3 linked regions of the Struthio camelus genome follow. The protein of the gene in region 1 purifies or fractionates together with the protein of each later gene. This does not show direct contact. Links are inferred from orthologs where the notes say so. Each region holds a gene or a part of one and is shown on either strand. Other genes may lie near its edges.

Region 1 (7,247 bases):
AAGAATATATTATGCTTATTTGCCTGAACTTGCTTGCTTTCCACTCCTCTTAAAGAAATACTATTTTTGTAATTATTTGTACAGCGAATTAAGTTTTAAAACAATCATAAACTATGCATCTGCAGATATGCTGTTAACCCTACAATAAACTCAGTTGCATTTGTCTGCCACAGAAGCCAAGCAGAGGAAGAGATGGAAGAGTAACTGCACAAGTCCACAAGTCTCAAGAGAAACAGAAGCTGCATTAAATGGACTCAGAACTCAATATGGAGATACAGTACTTCCCTACACTCCCAGCGAAATAACAGACATAAATATGTGTGTATATGTATACAGATACACGTACAAAGACATATAGAGAGAGAGAGAGGTGTAGGGCATAAAAATAGCACACAAGTGAGGGTTTTCCGGTATCATCAAAGAAAGTTCCTCATAAGCAGGGCAAGCAGCAACTGCTCTTATATCACATACAGCATTCTTGAGCGTTATTCTCGATTCTTTTATGTCAGAAAGCATTCAGTAGATCCTATTCTGGACTCCTGCAAACTCCATTTGCAGTTTAGTGTGCAATTCCTCTTTTGCCAAAAAAGACTTACTTTTTTTTTTTTTAAATCATTTTCCATTATTAGGCCACTTTTACCATCTCACAGTAACGTGATGAACAGTAAATGAGACAATTTCAAGACAGTTTTAGGGAGGTAGACATAACTCTTTCATTCTCTTTTTTAATTACATACGATGGCACTTTTATGATAAAATGAATGGAATTTAAACCCAACTGCTGTTCAAATTTCTCATTAATGGATTTGTTTAGCCCAATCATCATCCTTTGGAAGGAGAAAGGTTGCCAAACTTTAACTGCAACATGATGCAGAAGTGATACTGCATTCTTGTGTGACTCTGAGAACTGACAATATCTATTCTCTGCATTTCCTCACATGGTTCTGCATAATACAAAAAGCATATCCAAAGAGAACAGCTAGAGATTTCCACATTTTTAATGATTTCATAGAAATGCGTTATTAAACCATGTGCTCACCGAAAAAAAAAAAAAATTGTTTAATTGGCTTACAAAATACAAGGCCTTTTGCTTAGAATCACCAAATGGATCAGTTTTCTCACTGCTGCCAGTAAATGCTGAATGTGTTACTTTCAATTATAGCTATAATCCGAGGGTTATATTATCCTCTACTATGTTTCAGTGAAGCTTTGGAATTCATAATCAATTAAAATAAAGCTATTTTCCAAAAGAAATCAAAATTCAATGCTGAATTTAAAAAGATCTGTTCAGTTAAAATGCTTAACCATCTAAATCTTGAAGGTTCCTTTTTAGCTTTCCAATGCACACCCTCTGAGCATAAGTTTCCTATTTAAGTGCAGTGCAAATACAAAAGGGGAAGAGAAAGAGACAATTACTTCCTAGGGTAATTGTTACTGTGCCTTCGGCCAACAGCAAGAACTCCGAAATTATATTTTAAAATAAGTTCTCATTTAATACAATTTTATGTTTAACTGTGATATAAAATAATATCAGGAGCGACATTTGCTCACATTTTTGCTGTTCAAAGTAAGCCATGAAAACAACCTTTCACTTTTTGCTAGTTGGCCTTACTTTCTGATTCTGTATTCTGGTTCCATATTCAGTATTTGACTACCATTGTTACATTTAAGTAATAAACACTGTAGGAAATGATTAACAAGAAAAAAAAAAAAAAAGCATCATAATTGACTTAGCCTTCAAAAAGCCAGTTAGCAGCATTAATTTAGGTGATGCTGCTTTGATCATTAAAACATACTCCAATACCCTTAGAACAAAGCATTCATTAAAGAATCAAGAAGTCCTTTCTTGTGACTGTACACAACTGCTGTGCAGATTTACAGATCAGACGTTTTGTTATCTAACAATATTAAAAACAAAAAGCCAAAAAGAGAAAGATTTTTAGAAGTCTTTCTAATTAACGTCTAGGCAAACGATAGACATCAATAAAGTCAGTAATGTATTAATGTTATTTCGCTAAAATTAAGCATTCATAATCTACGTTTTCCTTCATTATTTTGGAACTGTAGATATCTCCTGGGTCAAGATCAAAGTCTGAGAATCGTCTGAGACCGTAGCATGGGTTGGTGCCCTATAACGTTATAAATCTGGTCACTGCGAAACCCAAGCTGTCTTCCCGAACTCCTCTTTCACCATTTCAGAATTAGCAACGACTAGCTTACTAGGCACAATAAAGTAAAACCGGCGCGCGGCCGCTGGCCCGCCAGCCGGGAAGCCGGGCGAAGCGGCGCCCCCTCCCGCCGCCCCGCCCTGCCCGCGGTCCCCTCCCTGGGCGGCGCCCGGCCCGGGCTGCAGCGCGGACCGACGCCAGCAAGGGGACAAAGCGAAGCCGATCACATCCCTGCCGTGGGGGTGGGGGCGCCTCCTCCTCCCCCCCAGCGCTGCGCTCCCCACGGGTGATTACAACTAACAGAGCTTTAGATAAAACACGGGGAAACATCCTCCCCTTCGCCTCCCCCCCACCCACCTACCCAAAAAACCCAACCCACCGCACACGAAACGGGCCGGCTGTCAGCCGGAGCTGCAGGCGACCAGCCGGCCAGCCCAACCTTTTGTTGTTTCTGCCTAACGGCAGACAGGAAGGCGCAGATAAAAAGCCCCGAAGCCCCCGGCTGCCCCCCGCCCCGCCGCTCGCTGTCAGAGGCTGGCGCGCCCCTCACTCACCGCTCGGTGCTGCAGGCTCGGGCGATGTGCGCAGCGCTCGCAGAGGCGGCGGGGGCCGCGCAGCCCGCGGGGGCGGAGAAGAGGCGGCCGGAGGAGGATGTCAGCGATGGGCGGGCGGAAGGGAGGAAGGAAAAGGGTGTTTTTTTTTTTTTTTTGGGGGGGGGGGCGGGAGAAAAGAGAGAGAACGAGAGAGAGAAGCGAAGGAAGCGGGTCGGCACCGCGGCCGCTCCGAAGGCCTGAGAGGCACTGACAGGCCCGGCCCGGCCCGACCCGACGGCCGCGGAGGTCGGCGCGGGGCCCTGCCTCCGAGGCGCGGGCGCTGACAGCTGCAGGCAGCCCCCGCCGCCGCCGCCCCCGCCGCCCCTCTGCCCGCCCCGCCGCCTCCGCAGCCCGTCGCCCCGCCCCGCGCAACATGGCGGCGCCCCCACTCCTTCTCCCACAGTCCCCCGCGCGCCCTTCTTTCTAGAACCTCCCCCCGACACGGTCTATGATGTCATCCGCCCCCCCGCCCCCCCCCCCGCGCGCGGCGGGTAACGGCCGCCCGCGAGGCGAGTGCGAGTCCAACGGCCGCCCCGGCCCCGGCCGCCTTGGGCAGCCGCGCCCGGCGCCCCTCCCTGCCCGGCGCCGCGCAGGGAAGATGCTGAGCCAAGGCCTTCAAGGGCTCAGGTGCGAGGCCGTGTCGGGGCAGACGGGCCTAGGCCGTGCCCCCTCGCCGGACGGGGGGGAAGGGCGCGTGTGCGTGAAAGGTGCTGCTGTCACGAGCAAAACCCGACGTTTGCTAAGCGCACGCTCAGGTGACCCAGCCTTGGTGTTGTCCCTAGGTAGGGTGCGGGTATTTCCCATGTTTATGGTTTTGTATGCCCTGGAAAGACGTTCTGGAATTTTGTTTTGCTATAAGGCTGACAATAGGACATAAAAAGCCCGTGGTCCCTTCTCAAGCACCTCTGGAACAAAGGCGCATTAAAGGAGCTGCAGCACGCAGGCAGCTTGCAGTCGATGTACAGGTCACACAAAGGACAGCCGAGGCTGAAGTACAAATGCTATGGAGGCTGGGTCCCCTCCCAGGATTCACGGGCTGCTAATACGTTTCCACACCCTTGTCTTAGGTGCGCATTGAACATAATAAAAGATCCCTATTGTTCTATAGGTTTATTCATAAAAGGAAAAACAAGAGTTTCATCATAACTTTTAGTGACACCAAGAACTGCATTTCCTTGCAGTGTCTCATTTCACTCCCATTCTCTCAAAAGAGGAGAGACTGGTCACAAGATTTTCTCCATATTGCTTTATATTCTGTTCAGTAGAAGTCCATCCCAGAAATGAAGGAAGATGGAAGGAGCCGGGGTTTGGGATTAAAGATATGACACAACAGTAAAATGTACATTAGGAATCATCAGGGAACAGTGACAGCCCAACTTTATGAAAGAGTTATTAGAGTCTAGACAGACTATTATGGGGCGTATTGCCTGCCTGAGCACCATACATGTAACTCCTACAGGAGATACAGGTATGAATCATTAACTTATGGAACCATGCGGAGGTATAGTGCTAAATCAAAATGTGTCATCTAAGTGGTATACCTTACAATATAAAAGGAAAGCTCTGCTTACGTGTTATTTGCCTTCACATGTAACACTGAACACATCTAGAAGATGGCAGATGTGAGAACAAGAATGAGGTGAGAAAGCAAGACTAAGAAGAAGCAGGAAGACGGAAAAGGAATCAAAGCTAATGCTGTCGTCAAAGAAGTAGAACAGGAAAAGACAGTTCACAGAAGCCTATGAGGAACAACATAAAGTTTGGGGGGAAGTGGATTGTCTACAGACTGCAAGGACAGAGAATTACTGTTGGATCTGAAAAGCTGAGGGAACTGAAGTATACTTCCAGAATACTGCTGATTCACATCTTACAGAGATCGAGCTTTCTAGCAAAAACAGTTGTGATACATGTACTTCAGAGCAGCAGCTTTTTGTGTTTCTCATCTCCATTTAAAATAACATTCCTCTGATAATTTTGTGTGGTTTATCATCACAGGGCAGCTTGGACAGGAAAGTCAGGGGATAGGCCAGCCTAACTATGTATAATACTGTGAAATAGGTGTTTGGACAGTAATGTGAAAAGGGGAAAAAAAAGGAATTGAAAGGCATTCCTTTATACAAACTACATTTTAAAAATAAGAATCATGCCTGTGGGTCCACAAGTTCAGCGTTTTCATGAATATGCAAGAGATTTAATTAAAAATAGAACGTCCTAATTACATAATTATGCAAGAGAACTGATTCAAAGGAACCACGCCTATCTTTTAAATAAACAATATTCATTACTTTCTTCCTATCACACATATACTTTACAAGATTTTCTGTAATTAGTTGCTTACCCCAGGGATCTCTGAGCATCTCTGAACAAAGCAACTACTCCAGCGATGACCCTGATTCATAATATGCAGGCTAATGAAGTATGCTTGCAATTTCTTGCATAAGTAGCACACGCTATAAGCTCCCCGGTGCAGGAAGGTTGATCAGTTCAATGGAACTAAAGCGTGGTATTACTCCCCTCTGTTTATGGCACGCAGTAGAAGAGCAGAGGCAAAAGAGACTTCGTCAGCCTGCTTCTTCCTCAAGCTTCTGCCTGACTGCAAGTACCATAAGAGTTTCTCTTCAGTTGGATCTTGTTTTTCCTGTCCAATCTACGTAAGAATTATCTAAGTTCTTCCAGCAGTAAAACTGTAATATTGCCCCACATTTGCATCTTCTCTTAAGGAGTTAGTTATCCTATTTGCCCTGCTTTTAGGATGAAGTGATCTAGACTTGCTGTCTCTAGAATAGTCTTTATCTGCCACAAAGTCACTGTGGTTTTCTGCAGACATCTCAGTGGATATTAAAACCCCAAAACATGTTATTTACACTGCCAGATTCTTTTTCCCTCAATATACCCATTTCTCTCCTCTCCCAAAAGAAGGTTTGTAATTCACAGTGGGAGGAAAAAAGCAAGCAGTAAAGCTAATACAACACAAAACTCTTACGTTTTGAGGTAACGTAACAATGTGAGAAATACACACAGCAAACTCCCAAGTTCAGTTTGACTGACATCCAGTCAGAGGAAGCTTCTACAAAGAAATTCATGTTCACTTCATTTAGGAAGCATGCGATGTTTTATTTTACCATTGTCATTCAAAAAAATAATTTTAGATTTAGAGCATCTTCCCTCCTAGAAGAAGGAGACAAAAGTTTTTTTTTTTTTAAATCTAATCCTACCGTCTATAAAATCCATGATTTCATTTTATAAATATGGGCTGCCATAAAGCACTAAATTGGAATAAATTCAACCACTGCTAAAATGCTATGTAAAAGCATCCTGGCAACAATAAATACCGAAAGGCCAGATTCAGGAACCTGTCTGGTTTTTCATCATGATCACTTGACAGTTGCATAAGCTAATTTATATTCTTTACAAAGAATTCATATTTCATAAAAGAATTTCCCATACGGAAAACAGCAAACAAAAATCACTGTTTAAGAGTCAAAAGCGTCAAGTACGTGGTTCCACACAGTTTTAGTCTAACTCCTTTGTGCTTATGTGCAATTAATGCACGCAGAACTACCTTGTTATTATGGAGCTCGAGCACTTTGGAGTAAAAGGACTGTATTTTGACATGATTCATTATTATACTCCAGGTGCCTGAACTTACCATAGGGAACCCACTGTTGGACATAGCATTAAAGTACTAAGTAAAATAAACACTGCTCACGATCCTACTCCCCAAGACAATATGCTTCATTTACATGCAAGTTAATTTTCCTTAGCCACAAGGATGTCTAAAAAGCTGCAAGAAATGAAAGGTAGTGTGCTTCTCCCTGCCCTTTTCTACCCTCTCTTCTATTTCCCCTGCCCTATTGTTAAATAACAAGAAGATCATGCAATGTAATTAAAGTTCACAAGGTCATTTCATTAGTTAATTTCTGTTACTCTTTTAAGCAGAGCAGGATGCTTGCTGTGGACATTAACATTTTGCTACCCCAAATTCCCTTCATTTCATAGCTATTACATAGCAGCATTATTAAAGTTCAAAGGACACTGGAATGTTTTGGAAAGCCTTTCAGTTAGCTCTAAAACATTTCTATCATAAAAAACAGACTAAAAATCCTCAACTAATTCAGTTAAAGTAACCAGATGAATGCTAGAAACTGTTAGACAACTTGCATGTCAATATTACTGTATGAACATAAAGAAAAATAGTAGACAATTTCAGCAACACAGCTACGTTTCTATATCCTCGTTTCCTCTATGATGTGCAAAGTATTAAATGATCAAGGATTTCCTGAGAATTGTGCCGTTGGACAACCCATAATATTCTGTGCTATATGAATTTACAGACACTGTCAGTATTTCCCAAGATACTTCAAACGGTAGAACGTCTAACAGTTTAGTTATCGTCAGAAGCTCTCCTCTACAAACCCCTTGACTTGTATCTTCACTCCCTGCATCCAAGGAGTAGGTTCCCACCTCTGAGGGACCGCTCACACCT
Region 2 (7,952 bases), on another chromosome or scaffold:
ATTCATGCCGGCGGCCGCCGCAGCAGAGCCCACACCCAGCCGCCGGCCTGGCACCCGCCCGGCAGGGACTGCGGCACCCGCGGCTCCCCGGCTCCGGCGTTATCGTCCTCGGGCCCCCACGGCAGCTCTCTGGGCCCAGCCAAGGGGCCCTAAATCCTTTATTTCGTGGGGTAGGACATCACCGCTTCCGGTTTGGAGCAGCCGAAGGGCGAGGCTCCCAGAAGAGGAAACCGGAGGAATTAAAATCCCGGTTAACCCTTTGCCTCCTGCCTACAGCTGGGGCTGCATGGCGGGGAAAACGGGTGCAGGGGAGGCAAGTCACGGACACGGCACCACTGTATCACCGATGGCGACTTCAGAGTATCTGAGGCCTGACTGGTGCTGTTTGGGGTGAAAAGAGCCAATTTCAGTCTGATTTACTGACTGAACCTGCCAGGACATGGGGGTCAGCAGGGATGCATTTGCCTGCAGGTGCCAATTTGCCCTGTCGTGTTTTTTTTACCGCTCAACGGGAGTCCGAGTGCCCAGCGTCCTCCCGCTGCAGCCATCCAGCTCCGACACACAGGGCCCAGGCATGCAGCACGCGGAGCGTCACACCAACCCCTACGTGGCAGGACGGGGCCGAGGCTGCGCTGTCCCGTGTCGTTCCCCCCCCCCCCCCTCAAACACCAGCTGGGCCACGGCGAGAAGCCGGGTCTCGCCCCCCGCGCCGTCGAGGCCTGGCTCCCCCCCACCCCAGCTTGGGAGCACGTGCCGGCGAAGCGGGGCCCAGTGGGCGGGCAGGCAGCAGGAGGGAAAAGGATCTGCAGCGCCAGCTGGGATCCGCGGGGCCGAGGCAAGGAGGCAACGCGAATGGCACGAGGCAGCGGGGCGCCGGGAGGGCGCACGTCACGCACGCGGCAGAGCACCGGGCCGAGCGAGCGTCCCCGGGAGCACACCAAGGTGGGGATCATGGCTCCGTCAGGGTGGCCAGAGCAGTCGTTCCGGCCGGGAGCCGCCTCGGCCAGGAGCGCGGGCGAGCGGGAGCCCTTGCCCTGCCTCCCAGGCAGAGCTGGGAGCCGCCTGGCCGCAACGCAGCCCTGCCTGCGTCCCTCGTGCCATAACACGCAGGGCCTCGAGGACGGGGGCTCGGCAGCCTGAGGACAGAGCCGACCCAGCCCTGCCTGGGCGTCAGCCCCATCTCAGGGACACCACGGTCAGGTCAAGGCTGGCAGCCTCGAGGACGTGGCACGCATCGCTCCCAGAACAGCCACGGCCTGCATGCAACAAACGGGCTGCGGCGCAGGGCTGGGCCGCGGGACCCTACTGCTATTTGGGGCTGTTTTTATGGGGCCTGACCCCCGTCGGCGTGGCCCCTGTTGTCCTCCGCATGCTGCCAGCCTGCGTTTCCCGTGCCCGGCCCCCCAACCAGGCTCACGTCCATTGGCAAAGCCAATGGGGGGGGGGGGGGCGGTTCGCCAGCCCTGCTCGCGCCTGCTGCCCTCAGCTGCGTTACACCGCGTGCAGACCCTGGGGACAAGGACAGGGACAGCCACCCGGCACTGGGCAGGGATTAAGCCCTGCCAGCGCTTCGTGGCCCCCCGAAAACGTTTGCAGTTTGACCAGGGGGTGAGCGTCGCTGGGACGCAGCACCGTGGCGGGGGGACGTGGCGCTGCAGAGGCGTGCGCGGGGACAAGGGCCGTTTCCCGGTCCCGGCGTGCCGGACATCTGCAGGAAGGCGGCACAGGCAGGTTCGCGCGCACCCGCCGCGCGGCACGGCCCCAGCGAGGCCTTACCGCGTCGAACTCGGCCTGGTCGTCCTCGGGCAGGTCACTGGTCTCGTACACGTCCGGTTCGTTCCTGGCCTGGCGATGTAAACGGGCTCCGGTGAAACCGGGTGGTGGCGCGGGGCCGGCCCTGGGGGGTCAGGTCACCCTCGCAGCACCCACAACCACCCAGCCCAGCACCCCAGTAACATCACTCTCACCATCAAAGATGCCCACAATCCCCTCAGCGCTCCCTACCGTTACCCCCACACCTCAAATCCCCCCACAAAACACCCTCAGGTGCCCCCTCAACCATGGACACCCCCCTGCGGTTACCCTCCCCCACATACCCTCAGTCTTCCCAAATATTCCTGATCCCTCTTAGACACCCCCGGCACCTCCCTAACACCCCAGTTACTGTGCCAGGTTCCTCCGATCCCCCCTGGACAGGTCTGCTCCCCTTCAACAGTCCCAAGTGCCCTCTTTCTCCCCAAATGCCCCAGTTACTGTCCCGGGTTCCCCTGATCCCCTCCAAGTGGGGGGGACTCCCTCAAATACCCCCCCACTTCCTGGCACCTCCAATCTCCCCAAATGCCCCATCTACCCCTCCAGCCACCTCCCATTCCTCCGAGGCACCCCCTAATCCCCTCAGCTACCCCCCAGCCATCCTCGATCCCCCCCAGCCACCCTTGATCCCCTCAGGCCCCCCCCAAAAGCCTCAGACACCCTCAATTTCCCCCCCAGGCACCTGGATCCACCCCAGACACCCCCGATCCCCTCAGCTACCTCCAAAAAGCCCCAGGCCCCCTCCATCCCCTCAATGACCCCCCAGACCCTCCCGATCCCCCCCCCAGGCCTCCTCCATCCCCTCAATGACCCCCCAGACCCCCCGATCCCCCCCCAGGCCTCCTCCATCCCCTCAATGACCCCCCAGACCCCCCGATCCCCCCCCCAGGCCTCCTCCATCCCCTCAATGACCACCCAGACCCTCCCGATCCCCCCCCCAGGCCTTCTCCATCCCCTCAATGACCACCCAGACCCTCCCGATCCCCCCCCCAGGCCTCCTCCATCCCCTCAATGACCACCCAGACCCCCCGATCCCCCCCCAGGCCTCCTCCATCCCCTCAATGACCCCCCAGACCCCCCGATCCCCCCCAGGCCTCCTCCATCCCCTCAGTTACCCCCTAGACACCCCCGATGCCCCCCCAGGCCTCCTCCATCCCCTCAATGACCCCCCAGACCCCCCGATCCCCCCCCAGGCCTCCTCCATCCCCTCAATGACCCCCCAGACCCCCCGATCCCCCCCCAGGCCTCCTCCATCCCCTCAATGACCCCCCAGACCCCCCGATCCCCCCCCAGGCCTCCTCCATCCCCTCAATGACCCCCCAGACTCCCCGATCCCCCCCCAGGCCCCCTCATCCCCTCAGTTACCCCCCCCCGCCCGGCCCGGCCCGGCCCGGCCCGGCCCGGCCCGCACTCACGATGCCGGGCAGGTCGGCGTACTTGGGGTCGGCCATGGCCGGGCCGGGGCCGGGGCCGGTACCGGTACCGGGTCGGGCCGGGCGGCGGCGGCGGCGGGGCGGGGCCGGGCGGGACTGAACGAGTCTCGCGAGAGCTGCCGGCGCGGGGCACGCTGGGAAACGGAGTGCTGGGGGGGCGGGGGGCGGGGGGCGGGGGCCGCTCTCCGCGCGCCCCCTTCCCTCCCTGCGCGCGGGGGTGGGGGCGGGTGCACCCGGGGTGGGGGAACACGTAGGGGTGCAGGGGGGGGGTGGGTGCACATGGTGGGGTGCACACTGGGGGTGCACATGAGGGGGGTTCACTGGGGGTGCACAGGGGTGTGGGTGCACCCCGGGGGTGCACGCTGGGGGTGCAGAGGGGTGTGGGTGCACATGGGGGGTGCACACTGGGGGTGCCCTGCGGGGTGGATGCACCCCACAGGGTGCATGCTGGGATGTGCACGGAGGGTTGCACATGGCGGGGTGCACAGTGGGGGTGCCCTGGGGTGTGGGTGCCCCTCGGAGGGTGCATGCTGGGAGGTGCACAGAGAGTTGCACATGGGCAGGGTGCACGCTGGGGGTGCAGAGGGGTGTGGGTGCACATGGGGAGATGCACAGGGGGTTGCACAGTCGGGGTGCAGAGGGGTGGGGGTGCACATGGGTGTGAGTGCACACTAGTGTCAGAGTGCACAGGGTGAGTGTGCGCGGGTGTGCGTGTGCAAAGGCGGGGGTGGGCGCCCACACAAGAGCGTAGGAGCGGCCCCCCGGGTGGGCACATTCCAGGGTGAGTGCCCACTGCCGGGAGTGCACACAGGGCACCGCTGATGTGGGGCGTGAAAGCGCATGAGGTGGGGGTGAGTGCACACTCCTCTGAGTGTGAGTGCCCCCCCCCGTAAGGTGTGTGCAGGCGCTGCCTGCGGGTGTTTGTGGGTCCCTGGGGGTGAGGGGAGGGGTGCTGCAGCCATGAGCTGTCCCTGCATTGCCCCCCAGCTGGACGCCCAAGGCCCGGACGGGCCACCAAGGACACGAGCGTGCCAGGCCTCAGCTCTGGGCTAGGCCCTGCCAAGTGCCCGGAGGAGGCTGGGGGAGGGGGGGGCCGTGAGTCAGGACTCCTGGGTCCCCGGGGCTGGGGGGAGGGGAGCTGATGCCCTGCCGGGGGGGGGGGGGCAGGCAGAGAAAGGGGGGGGGACCAGCCCTGCAGCCAGCCCCGGGGGTAAATGCCCTTGAGGCTGCGGCTGGGCCAGTGCTGCCTTTGGGCTGGGGTCCTGGCCCCCTCCCTCTGTGGGGTCAAGGCCCCCCCGGGTGTCCTGCCCCCCTCCTCCAAACACTGGGAAAGGGACCCAGGCATCCTAACCCCCCCCCCAGCCTCTTCCCCAGCTGAGAGAAGGACCCAGGCGTCCTAGCCCCCCCCCTTTGATGAATCAGCAGTTTGGGGAGGGCAGGTGGCAAGGCTGGGGCTGCCCTTGCTGGGGGAAGGGAATACACTCGGGGGGGGGGGGGGAACCCTCGCCCCCCTTCCCCATTCCGGCTCCGTCCACCTTAAGGGCCGCGGGCGGCTCCACCTTAACGGGGGGGGGGGGGCGTGCGCGGGGGGGCCCGGCCTCCCCCTCCTGGTACCGGGGCTGCGGCGGCGCCGCGGTCACTGGAGCACGGGGCAGCAGCGAGCACCGGCCGCCGCCCGCACCCGCCGCCGGGCCCTGGGTCGCATCCTGAACTGCTGGGTACCACTCGCATCCCCGGCTACCACCCTGCATCCTTGGGTACCACCCGCATCCCCGGGTACCACCCTGCATCCTTGGGCAGCATCCTGCATCCTTGGGTACCGCCCTGCACCGCTCGGTCGCATCCTGCATCCTTAGGCGCTGCCCGATCCCTAAGGAGCATTCTGCATCTCTGGGTCGCATCCTGCACCCCTGGGTCGCATCCTGCCTCCTTGGGTGCTGCCTGACCCCTAGGGAGCATCCCACATCTCTGGGTCACATCCTGCATCCTTGGGTACCACCCGCATCCCTGGGCAGCATCCTGCATCCCTGGGTCGCATCCTGCACCGCTGGGTACCACCTGCTTCCCTAGGTACCATCCACATCCCTGGGTCGTATCCTGCATCCTTGGGTACCACCCTGCATCCGTGGGTGCTGCCTGACCCCTAGGTAGCATCCCGCATCCCCGGGTGCCACCCCACACCCCTGGGTACCACGCGGCCCCTGGGCAGCATCCTGCACTCCCAGGTGGCACCCCACACCCTTGGGTAGCCCCCAGCACCCCTGGGCACTACCTGCATCCCCGGGTACCACCTGCATCCCAGGGGCGCTCCCAGCATCCCTGGGCAGCACCCCACACCTTTGGGTAGCACCCACCTCTTGAGACCCCCCCTCAGTCCTCCGGGACCCCCCGGCACCCTCCAGCATGGTGGAGCCCAGCACCGAGTGCAGCATCAAGGTGCTGTGCCGGTTCCGGCCGCTGAACCAGGCCGAGATCCTGCGGGGGGACAAGTTCCTGCCCGTCTTCCAGGGTGACGACAGCGTCGTGGTGGGGGTGAGTGTGAGGAGGGGGACAGTGACCCCAGATCCCCCCAGTGGGGCAGAGGGGGACCCGGCCCACCCAGCTGTGGTGGGATTGGGGGGGGAATAGGCAGCCGGGGGGGTACTTGAAGGGGCAATAGGCAGCTGGGAGGGGGATTTGGGAGGGGATAGGCAGCCGGAGGGGTACTTGGGGGGGGGCAGTAGGCAGTTGAGGGGGGATATGGGGGAAAATAGTCAACTGGGGGGGTACTTGGGGGGAATAGGCAGCCAGGGGGGATTTGGGGGGGCCATAGCCAGTCGAGGGGGTGCCTGGGGGAGGATAGGCAGCAGAGGCATGGATTGGGGGGGGTTAGGCAGCTGAGGGGGGGGATTGGGGGGAAATAGCCAGCCAGTGGGGTACCTGTGGGGGGGAATAAGGAGGGGGAATCGCCCTGGGTGTGGTCAGCAGCGAGGGGACCCAGAGCACGATGGGACGCAGCCTCCTCGTAGCTCCCCCCAGGGCGTTTCCCCCCCCCTCCCCGCAGCACCCCTCATTCCCCTTCTGAGGGCTCTGGGTGCCCCCAGTCCCCCCAGTCTGTCCCAGTGCCCCCCGAGGCGGGGCAGCTGTTTACAGCGAGTGGAGACACCCAGATGCCCCGGGGTTGGGGGGGGGTGTCAGTGCTTCAGCACCCCGGCAGGATCGGGCCCGGGGGGGGGGGGCAGTTTGCCGCAGATCCTCCCTGCAGCACGGCCCTGCCCGGCCCTTTGTTAGGCTCTACCAGCCCCCCCACCCCGGTACCGGGGGGGGGGGGGGAGCTGCTGGAACCGGAGCTGGGAACCCCCTATAATAGGGCCTGGTGCACCGGGGGGGGGGGTTCCTGTTCGGGGGGGCTCCTCGGCCCAGCCGGCCTGGCCCCCCCCAGCCCCGGCATGGGGGGGGGCAGGGGGTTCCCCCGGAGGGGACAGGGGGATCCTGGGGGTTGTGTAGCTCTGCGGCTGTGTCATGTGGGGGTGCAGCTGTGTTGGGTGTTGTCGCACAAGGTGTTGCAGTGCCACGCGGCTGTGTCGGGTCGGGGCAGTGCGGGGCGTTGTGTCGGTGCACAGCTGTGCCGGTGCATTGCAGGGTGTTGTGTGATTGTGTGCCGTTGAAGCTGTGTGTCGCAGTGGTGGCTGTGCCAGTGCAGGGTGGAGTGTAGCGGTGCGGGGTGTCGGGTTTGGGTGCGGTTGTGTCAGCGCGGGGTGTTGCGTGGCTGTGTGCGGCGGGGTCTGCGTGTTGCTGCGCTGGTTGTGTTGCGCGACTGTGCGGCGCAGGGCGGCTGCGTGTTGCTGCGTTGGTTGCGTCGTGCCTGTGCCTCGCCGGCTGTGTTGTGTCGCTGGGCGTGCGGTGCAGGCTGTGTGCGGCTGTGCTGGGGGTGGCTGTGCGGGGCTGTGCGGCTGTGCTGGGGGTGGTTGTGCGGTTGTGCGGCTGGGCCCCGTGCGTTGTGTGTCCCCCGGGCGGCGGCGGTTCAGCACCGGGGCCTGGACAGCTCCCGCGGCCGGCGGGGGAGGGGGCGGTTGGGGGGCGTTTGGAGGGGTGTATGGGGGTATTGGAGGGGTCTGAGAGGATGATTAGGGGGTGTATGGAGGGTCTGGGGGGGTTGAGGAGTATATGGGGGGCTGGGGGTGCTCTAGGGCATGTATGGGGGGGGACTGGAGGTGTCCAAGGGGGTCTATGGGGGTCTGGGGGTATTTGAGGGGGTGTAGGAGGATCTAGGGATGTTTGGGATGTGCATGGGGGGCTGGGAGTGTCCAAGGAGGTGTATGGGGGGGTCTAGGGTTTTCTAGGGGGATGTATGGGGGCTGGGGGTGTTTATGGTTTCTGGGGGGGGGTCTGAGGGGGTAGAAATATACAGGGGCATGGGTCCTTGTGGGAGCATTTGGGGGGCCTGAGGGTATATGGGAGGCTGAGACTGTATAAGGGCGGGTGTGAGGTCTGGAAGTATATGGGGAACTGAGTGTGCCTGAGGGAGTATATGGGGGGCTGGGGGTGCATGACAGCTAATATGAGGGAGCTGAGGGGTATAGAGGTCCTGGGAGTGTATGGGAGGTGTATGGGAGGCTTGAGAGTGTTTGGAGGACTGGGGGTGTATGGGGATCCGAGGGATTTTTGGGAGGGATCAGGAGTATATGAGGAAATATATGGGGGGATCGGGGGTGCATGGAGAGGCAG
Region 3 (7,736 bases), on another chromosome or scaffold:
ATACAGATCAACATTTTGTGTGTATGTATATATAAAAGTCATATTTTGACCTGAAATTTTTCTCAATCTAAAGACTTTTGAATTATAGAAATTCCCTTGAAACAAGTTCTTATAAAAATCTAGTTTAAATCTTTGAACTGCATTACCTTCCTAGTTATTCTGAAGTATTTCCTATTGCCTATTTTAAAAACTCTTCTATGATTTAGAGTAAGTAACATATCAAGATGCTATTACACAGAAATAGGAGGAAATTATCTCCTTTATATTGCATGCTAGTGAGCATCTTAGGGCTGACTGTAATAAGAGACAAAATACTGAACAAAAAGAAAGGAATACTGATCATGATCCAAGGTTTTTTTTTTTTTAGCTAAATTTTTAGTTCAGCCCCAGGTCTTATGTCTCACTGCTAAATGACTGTGCAACATCATAATCCAGTCCTGCCAAGGTGCTTTGCCTGTAAGGCAAAGAGCAACTTGTGTCCATTCAATTCAACATTGCCTTTTATTGCCTTTCATTATATGCGTCAGATGGTAAATGCCTCAAGGACTTTTTTCCTCTGTAAAATAACACTCTTACATATTGCATTCAATTTAATAATGATGTCTAACAACATTTCAAATTCAAGAAAGAACAGCATGCAATACATGAAGTCCAAAAGCAAGATAGTAAATAGCTGCTCACAAACTTCCAATCACTTAAAAGCGTGGCGCTATATGGCCATGTCCACTTGGATTCAACAGCCAACGGCTACCAAATTAGAAGCTCTGACTATGAGGCATGAAATCCACCTGCTGGCTCTGTTCTTGGTAACAATTACCACAAGCCCTGGAGCTCAGCATTTCTTAGATTAAGTGGTGCAAGCAAATGTTTCAGTAAAAGGGATATGGCTTACAGAAAAATTACATGTGTATAAAATTGGAGATTACTGCAGATGATGTTGGAACATGAAATAAAGAAGCACGTGTTTTTTAAGTACAAAGGAAAAAGACCTGCAGGACAGGAACTGCAAGAAAGGAACTCCAGTGACCCAGATCACTCAAAAAAATATCACCTGCCTGGCCAAGGGAAATATTGCTTATAGGATAACCACCTTGGGTGACTGAGTGGTGGTTACCCAGAACCTATACCTGTTCTTTGCCTAGACAAATGGTCTATAGCCTGGTCTCTCCTGAAGTATTAATGGGCAGCCTTTTCTTTGGTGATGCATGGGTATAGATCGCAGTTCCTCCCAACTGTCTTCTCAACGTTTCTAAGTTCATTTTGTTGCCTGTTCTTCAGTCTTTGGCTTCCTAGTTTTTTATTCCCTTTGAACAGTTCTTTTGGGTCTATGGAAAAGACGCAGGTTTTCACATGCCTCTGTTATCTATCTCCTTACTTCTGTGGGATCATCTCTTCGTAAGAGTGTCTGTTTTGCTGTTCAGCCCTGCTATCACATAGGTCCCTTCTGTTGGGTTTTTGCTTCAGCCTGAACAGCTTGGCCATAACAGTGGCTCATGTGTAGAGAAATGGAATCTCATTGTTTTCTTATGGACAGTTCCCCCCCGCCACCTCCAGCCTCAGAGAAGGGGATTTGTTATTCCTTTGGGACTTCTTCAACATCCTGAGCTGTTTAGTGAACTGTCTCAGCTGAGGCTGGCTCAGCTTGTGCGTTTCTTCAGGAGCAAGCAGAACTTGCTGTCAGCCCCTGTATAACTCTGTCAGGGTCATTTGAATGGTGGAATTTGAATCTAGCTGGAGAACGTGCCCCACAGCTTCAAGGAAAGGAGATTGATATCAAGGCTTGCTTTCTTCCACTTTTGTGGTGTTGGTAGCATGAAAATTCTGTGTCCAGGTATAGTGTAGCTCACAAAAGCCAGGCAGTGTGTAATGGTATTTTCTGGAAGTATGCTATCTGTTTTTTTGGAGAGAGGGGGGGGAAAAAAAAAAAAGTAAGATTACAGGAATGGGGATGAATGCTTTCCTGTATCTTCTGAGTTCATGTTTCTTGTGATGCAGTTTCCCAATAAACAATAAATCATACCTTCCACCATTTACTACTCTGAGTGAGGTACCAGGGCATCCAGATCAAGGTGGAAGCTCACAAGCTCATGAAGTTCTAATCACCTCCAAGACTGACTGGAACCTAATGTTCCTACTAAGTTGCTTAACGCTCAACAGTCTAGTAATAACAAGTAAAAAGAGCAGGTTTATGACAATACAGTATTGTCATACATTGACAATACAGACAATATAATATTGTGACAATATTGCTAAGAAAAATGCTCTTCAGTGTGTTCTTAGTGGCTGTAGATTATACCTGCTCTAATTAGAAAATAGAAATTTGCCTATTGTTATCCACATTGAGCTCTTGATATTGGAGAAAAATACAAATGAATTCATCAGAACAGTTGTCTTTTATGACTAAGCCCCTGCTTGTCATGACTTATGAATTTGCTATTCAGGGCAAAAGCTTGAAACATAAAAAGAAATAAAAGCGCTAGATAATTGGTAATCCACAGGAATAAATCACATTATATAATAATGTCTTATCACATCCTGCACATTGCTAACTCTCTTTGATGTAATTACTTTTAAGAAGGGCATGAGAATCTTTTTAACTAGCCTGCTCTTTTCATATCCACATCAGGTAATGAGGACAACCACTGAGCTAAAAGAAAGAGAAATCTCCCTAGGACCGCCAAAGAACTGACCATTGTCATCTTAATTATGATTGAGGCTAATGTAATGCAACTGAAACTCCTTTCTTTGGAGGAAACTGATTGCAGGGGTTGCTTGGAGTGGCTAAAGTCCAGGGACTGTCTCTTACTTACGGGAAGACCTCAATGGTTGTTGCATGTGTCTTTTAGCAGTCTAACTTGCAGGGAGAAACGGATGGAGGAGGTGGAGGCTAAATAAGGTAGTGTAGACTATTTCAGACAACTCTAATCAATTAAATGAACTACCCTCCTGTCCCCAACCTTGTACCAAGGTTAAGTTACAGGTACTTTCAGCAGACAAAGAAGAAATAGGGCTAAGTGAAGAAGGAGAGCAAATGTGAAGAGTAGGAAGAGGCACTAGGACTTTGTTTTTTTTCAGATGAATATTCACTGACTGAATAGTCACAAACTTCTTGTTAACTTAACAAGGTCAGAGCTTCACTCAGAGCTACTATTTTTTTCTGCCCTTTCTCACAAAAATATCTATGGGTAGTATAAAGAATGGGAATGCTGGCATGACAGCTGAGGAATAAATAAGCCTTTAATCTCTTTATCAGAGGCAAAGAACAACAGATTTCTAGTCATACCCCTTTGTTCCACCTTTACCATGAAGTTGCCCGTTTAGTGTATGAAATCTCTGTAGAAGAGAGAAACCAGCCTAATCCAGGAGGCTTAATCCTGGTGAAAAAAAAAAAAAAGAGTACAGGGGAGCCGTTGAGGGGAACTGTGAGGGTCGGGGGAGCCGTTGGGGTTGGGGGGGGGTGAGAACCGCTGAGGGGAGCCGTGAGGGTCGGGGGAGCCGTTGGGGTTGGGGGGGGGAGGTGAGAACCGCTGAGCGGAGCCGTGAGGGTCGGGGGAGCCGTTGGGGTTGGGGGGGGGAGGTGAGAACCGCTGAGGGGAGCCGTGAGGGTCGGGGGAGCCGTTGGGGTTGGGGGGGGGTGAGAACCGCTGAGGGGAGCCGTGAGGGTCGGGGGAGCCGTTGGGGTTGGGGGGGGGAGGTGAGAACCGCTGAGGGGAGCCGTGAGGGTCGGGGGAGCCGTTGGGGTTGGGGGGGGGTGAGAACCGCTGAGGGGAGCCGTGAGGGTCGGGGGAGCCGTTGGGGTTGGGGGGGGTGAGAACCGCTGAGGGGAGCCGTGAGGGTCGGGGGAGCCGTTGGGGTTGGGGGGGGGGAGGTGAGAACCGCTGAGGGGAGCCGTGAGGGTCGGGGGAGCCGTTGGGGTTGGGGAGGGGGAGTGAGAACCGCTGAGGGGAGCCGTGAGGGTCGGGGGAGCCGTTGGGGTTGGGGGGGGGTGAGAACCGCTGAGGGGAGCCGTGAGGGTCGGGGGAGCCGTTGGGGTTGGGGGGGGGAGGTGAGAACCGCTGAGGGGAGCCGTGAGGGTCGGGGGAGCCGTTGGGGTTGGGGGTGAGAACCGCTGAGGGGAGCCGTGAGGGTCGGGGGAGCCGTTGGGGTTGGGGAGGGGAGTGAGAACCGCTGAGGGGAGCCGTGAGGGTCGGGGGAGCCGTTGGGGTTGGGGGCGGGGGTGAGAACCGCTGAGGGGAGCCGTGAGGGTCGGGGGAGCCGTTGGGGTTGGGGGGGGGTGAGAACCGCTGAGGGGAGCCGTGAGGGTCGGGGGAGCCGTTGGGGTTGGGGGGGGTGAGAACCGCTGAGGGGAGCCGTGAGGGTCGGGGGAGCCGTTGGGGTTGGGGGGGGGGTGAGAACCGCTGAGGGGAGCCGTGAGGGTCGGGGGAGCCGTTGGGGTTGGGGGGGGGGTGAGAACCGCTGAGGGGAGCCGTGAGGGTCGGGGGAGCCGTTGGGGTTGGGGGGGGTGAGAACCGCTGAGGGGAGCCGTGAGGGTCGGGGGAGCCGTTGGGGTTGGGGGGGGGTGAGGGTCGGGGGAGCCGCTGCGGCGCGCGCCGCTCCCGCCGCCCGCCACCTGCCGCGCGGACTACGCCCCCCAGCAGGCCGCGCGCGCGCGCACCGCGCCCGCGGGGCGGGGCGGGGCTGGCGTACTGCGGTGCAGCCACAAAGCGCGGGGCTGCGGGAGCGGCGGCCGGTGCCCGGCGGCGATGGCAGCGGGCCGGCTCTGAGCGGGGCGGCGTGAAGGCTCCGGGCGCCCCACTGCCTTCCTCCAACGGCCGCACCGCGGTGAGAGGCGATGGTTGCTGCGCGGGCGGAGGCTGAGGTGCGCCGCTGCCGCCGCGGCGTGTGAGGCGGTGCCCTGCCCTGCCCGCCCTCATGCCCCGCTAGCGGCAGGGAGGCCGCCCACAGCGCCCGCCTCGCAGAGGGCTCCGGTGCGGCAGCCCGGTGCGGCAGCTCGCCGGCGCGATGGCCGATCCCGCCGAGTGCAGCATCAAAGTGATGTGCCGCTTCCGGCCCCTCAACGAAGCCGAGATCCTGCGGGGGGACAAATTCATCCCTAAATTCAAAGGCGAGGAGACGGTGGTCGTAGGGGTAAGTGTGTCCCCCCCCCCCTCCTGCCCCCGGACACCTCGCCGTCGCCGGGCTCCCGAGCGTCCGGCGGGCGCTGCCTGCCGGGGCCGCTCGCCCGTTGCCGCCGCCGAGGGCGGGGTGGCGGCTCCTGCCTCCTTCACCTTGAGGGTGGCGCAGCGGGGAGCCCCCGGCCCCGGAGGCGGTGGGGGAGGCGGCGGCTGATGTCATGCCCGTGACTGGGCATGCTCGCAGCTCCCCTCCGCTGCTGGGGCGGGGGGGCTCGTTGCGGCAGCCGCCGGCCGGCCGGGAAAGTCCCCCCCCCCGCCGCCGCCGCCCCCCGGGGCGGTGTGGAGCGGGGAAACGCGCCCGGGCGTCGCTCCCCTCCGCGCCGCCGCAGCCGCCTCCGCCGGCGGGTCGTGCTGGCGTCCAGAGCCGGGCGCGGACAAAGCGCCGGCGGGGTGCGGGGTGGGGGGGGGGAAGCTGTTAAATCCTCATCTCTCCATCGGTGCGGCTTCCTTGCTGCAGATAATTTCAGAGGATGCAGCTTTTTTTGTGTGTGATTTTTTTTTTTTTTTGATGTGCTGTGTGTCTTGTGCGTCATTGTGGGTGCGTGACAGGCTGCGTTAGGCAGGCGCGCTGAGGCACCTGCGCTTGCAGGCTTCGGTAGGAGAAGTGGAAGTGCTGTGAGAGCGAAGACTCGGTATCTACCCTTATTTAAAAAGACCCACACCCGGGGAAGTTTTTTCTTTTCACTATATATATAGAGATATATATATATATATAAAAAAAAATTTTAAACATCAACCCGTTGCCACGCTTCCAGAGACAACGTGCTCTCCAGTAGGACAAATTTTGTTTTTTCTTGCCCCTTTATAAGGGACGGACTGCTCGTAAGAGTAAAAACTTTAAAATAAGTCATGCCGATCACTTTGTGATTTGGGATGCGGCTCCTTTGCTGACTGGTTGACATGGCGCAGCATGCTTGTCAAGACTGCACGCTGAAGTGCCCCTGCTGTTCTTGGAGTTGGAGCTTTCCAAAACTGGCTTCTCGGCAGGGGTTCAGTTCACAAGTCTGCTAGCGATGGTCTTGGTGGGTGTGGATGTACAATACTGGACACTTTAAGTTCGGTTAGTTTTCAGCTTACTGTCTAACCAGTAGTGTCTTTGCTGTTTTGTTTTATATATTGGTCTACTTTGGTTAAGCTATCAAGATGTCCAATACTTCACTATGATAAAGAGCCCTTAAAATTACTAATACTAAGCATATATTATTACTTACATGCTCAATTAATGTTCTTATTTAAACCATGAGTTAGCAGAAACTTTTTTTTTTCCATGAAAGCTGCTAAATAATTATGGATGAGTGAGGAAAAATTGAGTCAATTTTGGACATAAGTGAATGACTCATTTCTCTTTATTTGTACTTAACTAATTTGGCTCTATAGGAAACACTTTTCTGTTATTTGAAGGTTATAGTTTTTAACACCTACACCAATGTGTTAGAGATGATAATCTCAATCAACAATACAGGGCTGTCACTTTGGTCTGCAGATATTTGGAACGAAGGAGGAGTAACTGTACCACAGTCATTTGGATACTTAAAAAACAAATGTCAGTAGATCTTCCTCCTCCCTTAAATAAGTAAACCCTCAGACATATGAAAAGTAGGTTAAAATACATCAGTTGAATATCCTTTTAACAATATCATTTCTCAGAGAAGCAGAGTTCAGAATACTTCTTTCCCCTTCAGTGAATGTGCGGGTGGCTTAGAATGCATCGTTGTTTATTAAGTGTCTGTCTGGGAAAACAGTAACTATGATGCATCAAAAAAGGTGTTAATATCTTGCAGATAATTCCCTTAGGATAAAGATTAAAAGAGAAAATAACAATTTTTAATTTCTACCATGGGAGTTTAAAGACTGGTGAGAGAGGGAAAAATACATGTATTTTAAATAATGCATTTTTATCCTTATATATATGTTTTCAGTTTGGCAGGATCATTTTTCAGGGACATTATTAGTCATGAAAATCTGATCTTAAGCTTAGGGTATGCTTTTCCCTTCTATTCATGGGGCAAAGTACAGGTTCTTGCTCAGGTGTACATCTTGGTCGTGTTAATTAGTGGAAAATGTCCTCAAATACAGCTTGCTTTTTCTAAGAGAAACCATCCCCCTGGGGTTCCGTGGGGATATTTGTAGCTACTTGCAGTGTTGTAAATATAAATGAAAATAAAAATCTTTACATATTCGTTGTCATCTCTATTCATGGTACTGGGTCATGGAGATTTGGTGCAACTTGATCTACAGTCATATACAGATCTGTACTTGATACTGCTTTCTACTGATTTACTGCAGTACTGTAAGTATTATTTACTCATTCAGAGTTACTGCTTAAATCCAGCACATAATGTTTAGCTGGGGGAAAGAACCCTGGTTCTAATGGAAGATACTATCAGAGTAAACTCCCATCTAGAAAACCAGCATTTTAATCTCAAAAAGTTCTTAATGTTACGTTAAACAAAAACAAACCAGAAATGAGCGCCAGTGTTTTATTAAAGCATTTGGAAGAAGACTGCAATGCAGCTTCCTTCCATAAAATATTGGAAAGGAAGAAGTTAAAAATTCTATTTA

What was found.
Region 2: the proteins of KLC1 (region 1) and KIF5A purify together in Homo sapiens (co-immunoprecipitation; 7 studies listed by BioGRID and IntAct, counting the BioPlex papers as one, with this or other methods). This does not show direct contact. The link is inferred for Struthio camelus from reciprocal best matches to the Homo sapiens genes KLC1 and KIF5A.
Region 3: the proteins of KLC1 (region 1) and KIF5C purify together in Homo sapiens (co-immunoprecipitation; 4 studies listed by BioGRID and IntAct, counting the BioPlex papers as one, with this or other methods). This does not show direct contact. The link is inferred for Struthio camelus from reciprocal best matches to the Homo sapiens genes KLC1 and KIF5C.

What each region holds. Positions count from the first base shown.
Region 1 is NC_090946.1:72,488,391-72,495,637, reverse strand, and holds the start of KLC1 (kinesin light chain 1), read right to left. Parts: upstream 3,079-7,247; 5' UTR 2,723-3,078; intron 1-2,722. UniProt on the Homo sapiens protein: Kinesin is a microtubule-associated force-producing protein that may play a role in organelle transport. The light chain may function in coupling of cargo to the heavy chain or in the modulation of its ATPase activity.
Region 2 is NC_090969.1:2,321,091-2,329,042, reverse strand, and holds the start of KIF5A (kinesin heavy chain), read left to right. Parts: upstream 1-4,858; 5' UTR 4,859-5,061; exon of another isoform or gene 5,062-5,619; 5' UTR 5,620-5,648; coding exon 5,649-5,777; intron 5,778-7,952. Other genes in the region: DCTN2 (dynactin subunit 2), read right to left, coding at 1,777-1,845, 3,228-3,263. UniProt on the Homo sapiens protein: Microtubule-dependent motor required for slow axonal transport of neurofilament proteins (NFH, NFM and NFL). Can induce formation of neurite-like membrane protrusions in non-neuronal cells in a ZFYVE27-dependent manner.
Region 3 is NC_090947.1:43,665,281-43,673,016, forward strand, and holds the start of KIF5C (kinesin heavy chain), read left to right. Parts: upstream 1-4,663; 5' UTR 4,664-5,001; coding exon 5,002-5,127; intron 5,128-7,736. UniProt on the Homo sapiens protein: Microtubule-associated force-producing protein that may play a role in organelle transport. Has ATPase activity. Involved in synaptic transmission. Mediates dendritic trafficking of mRNAs.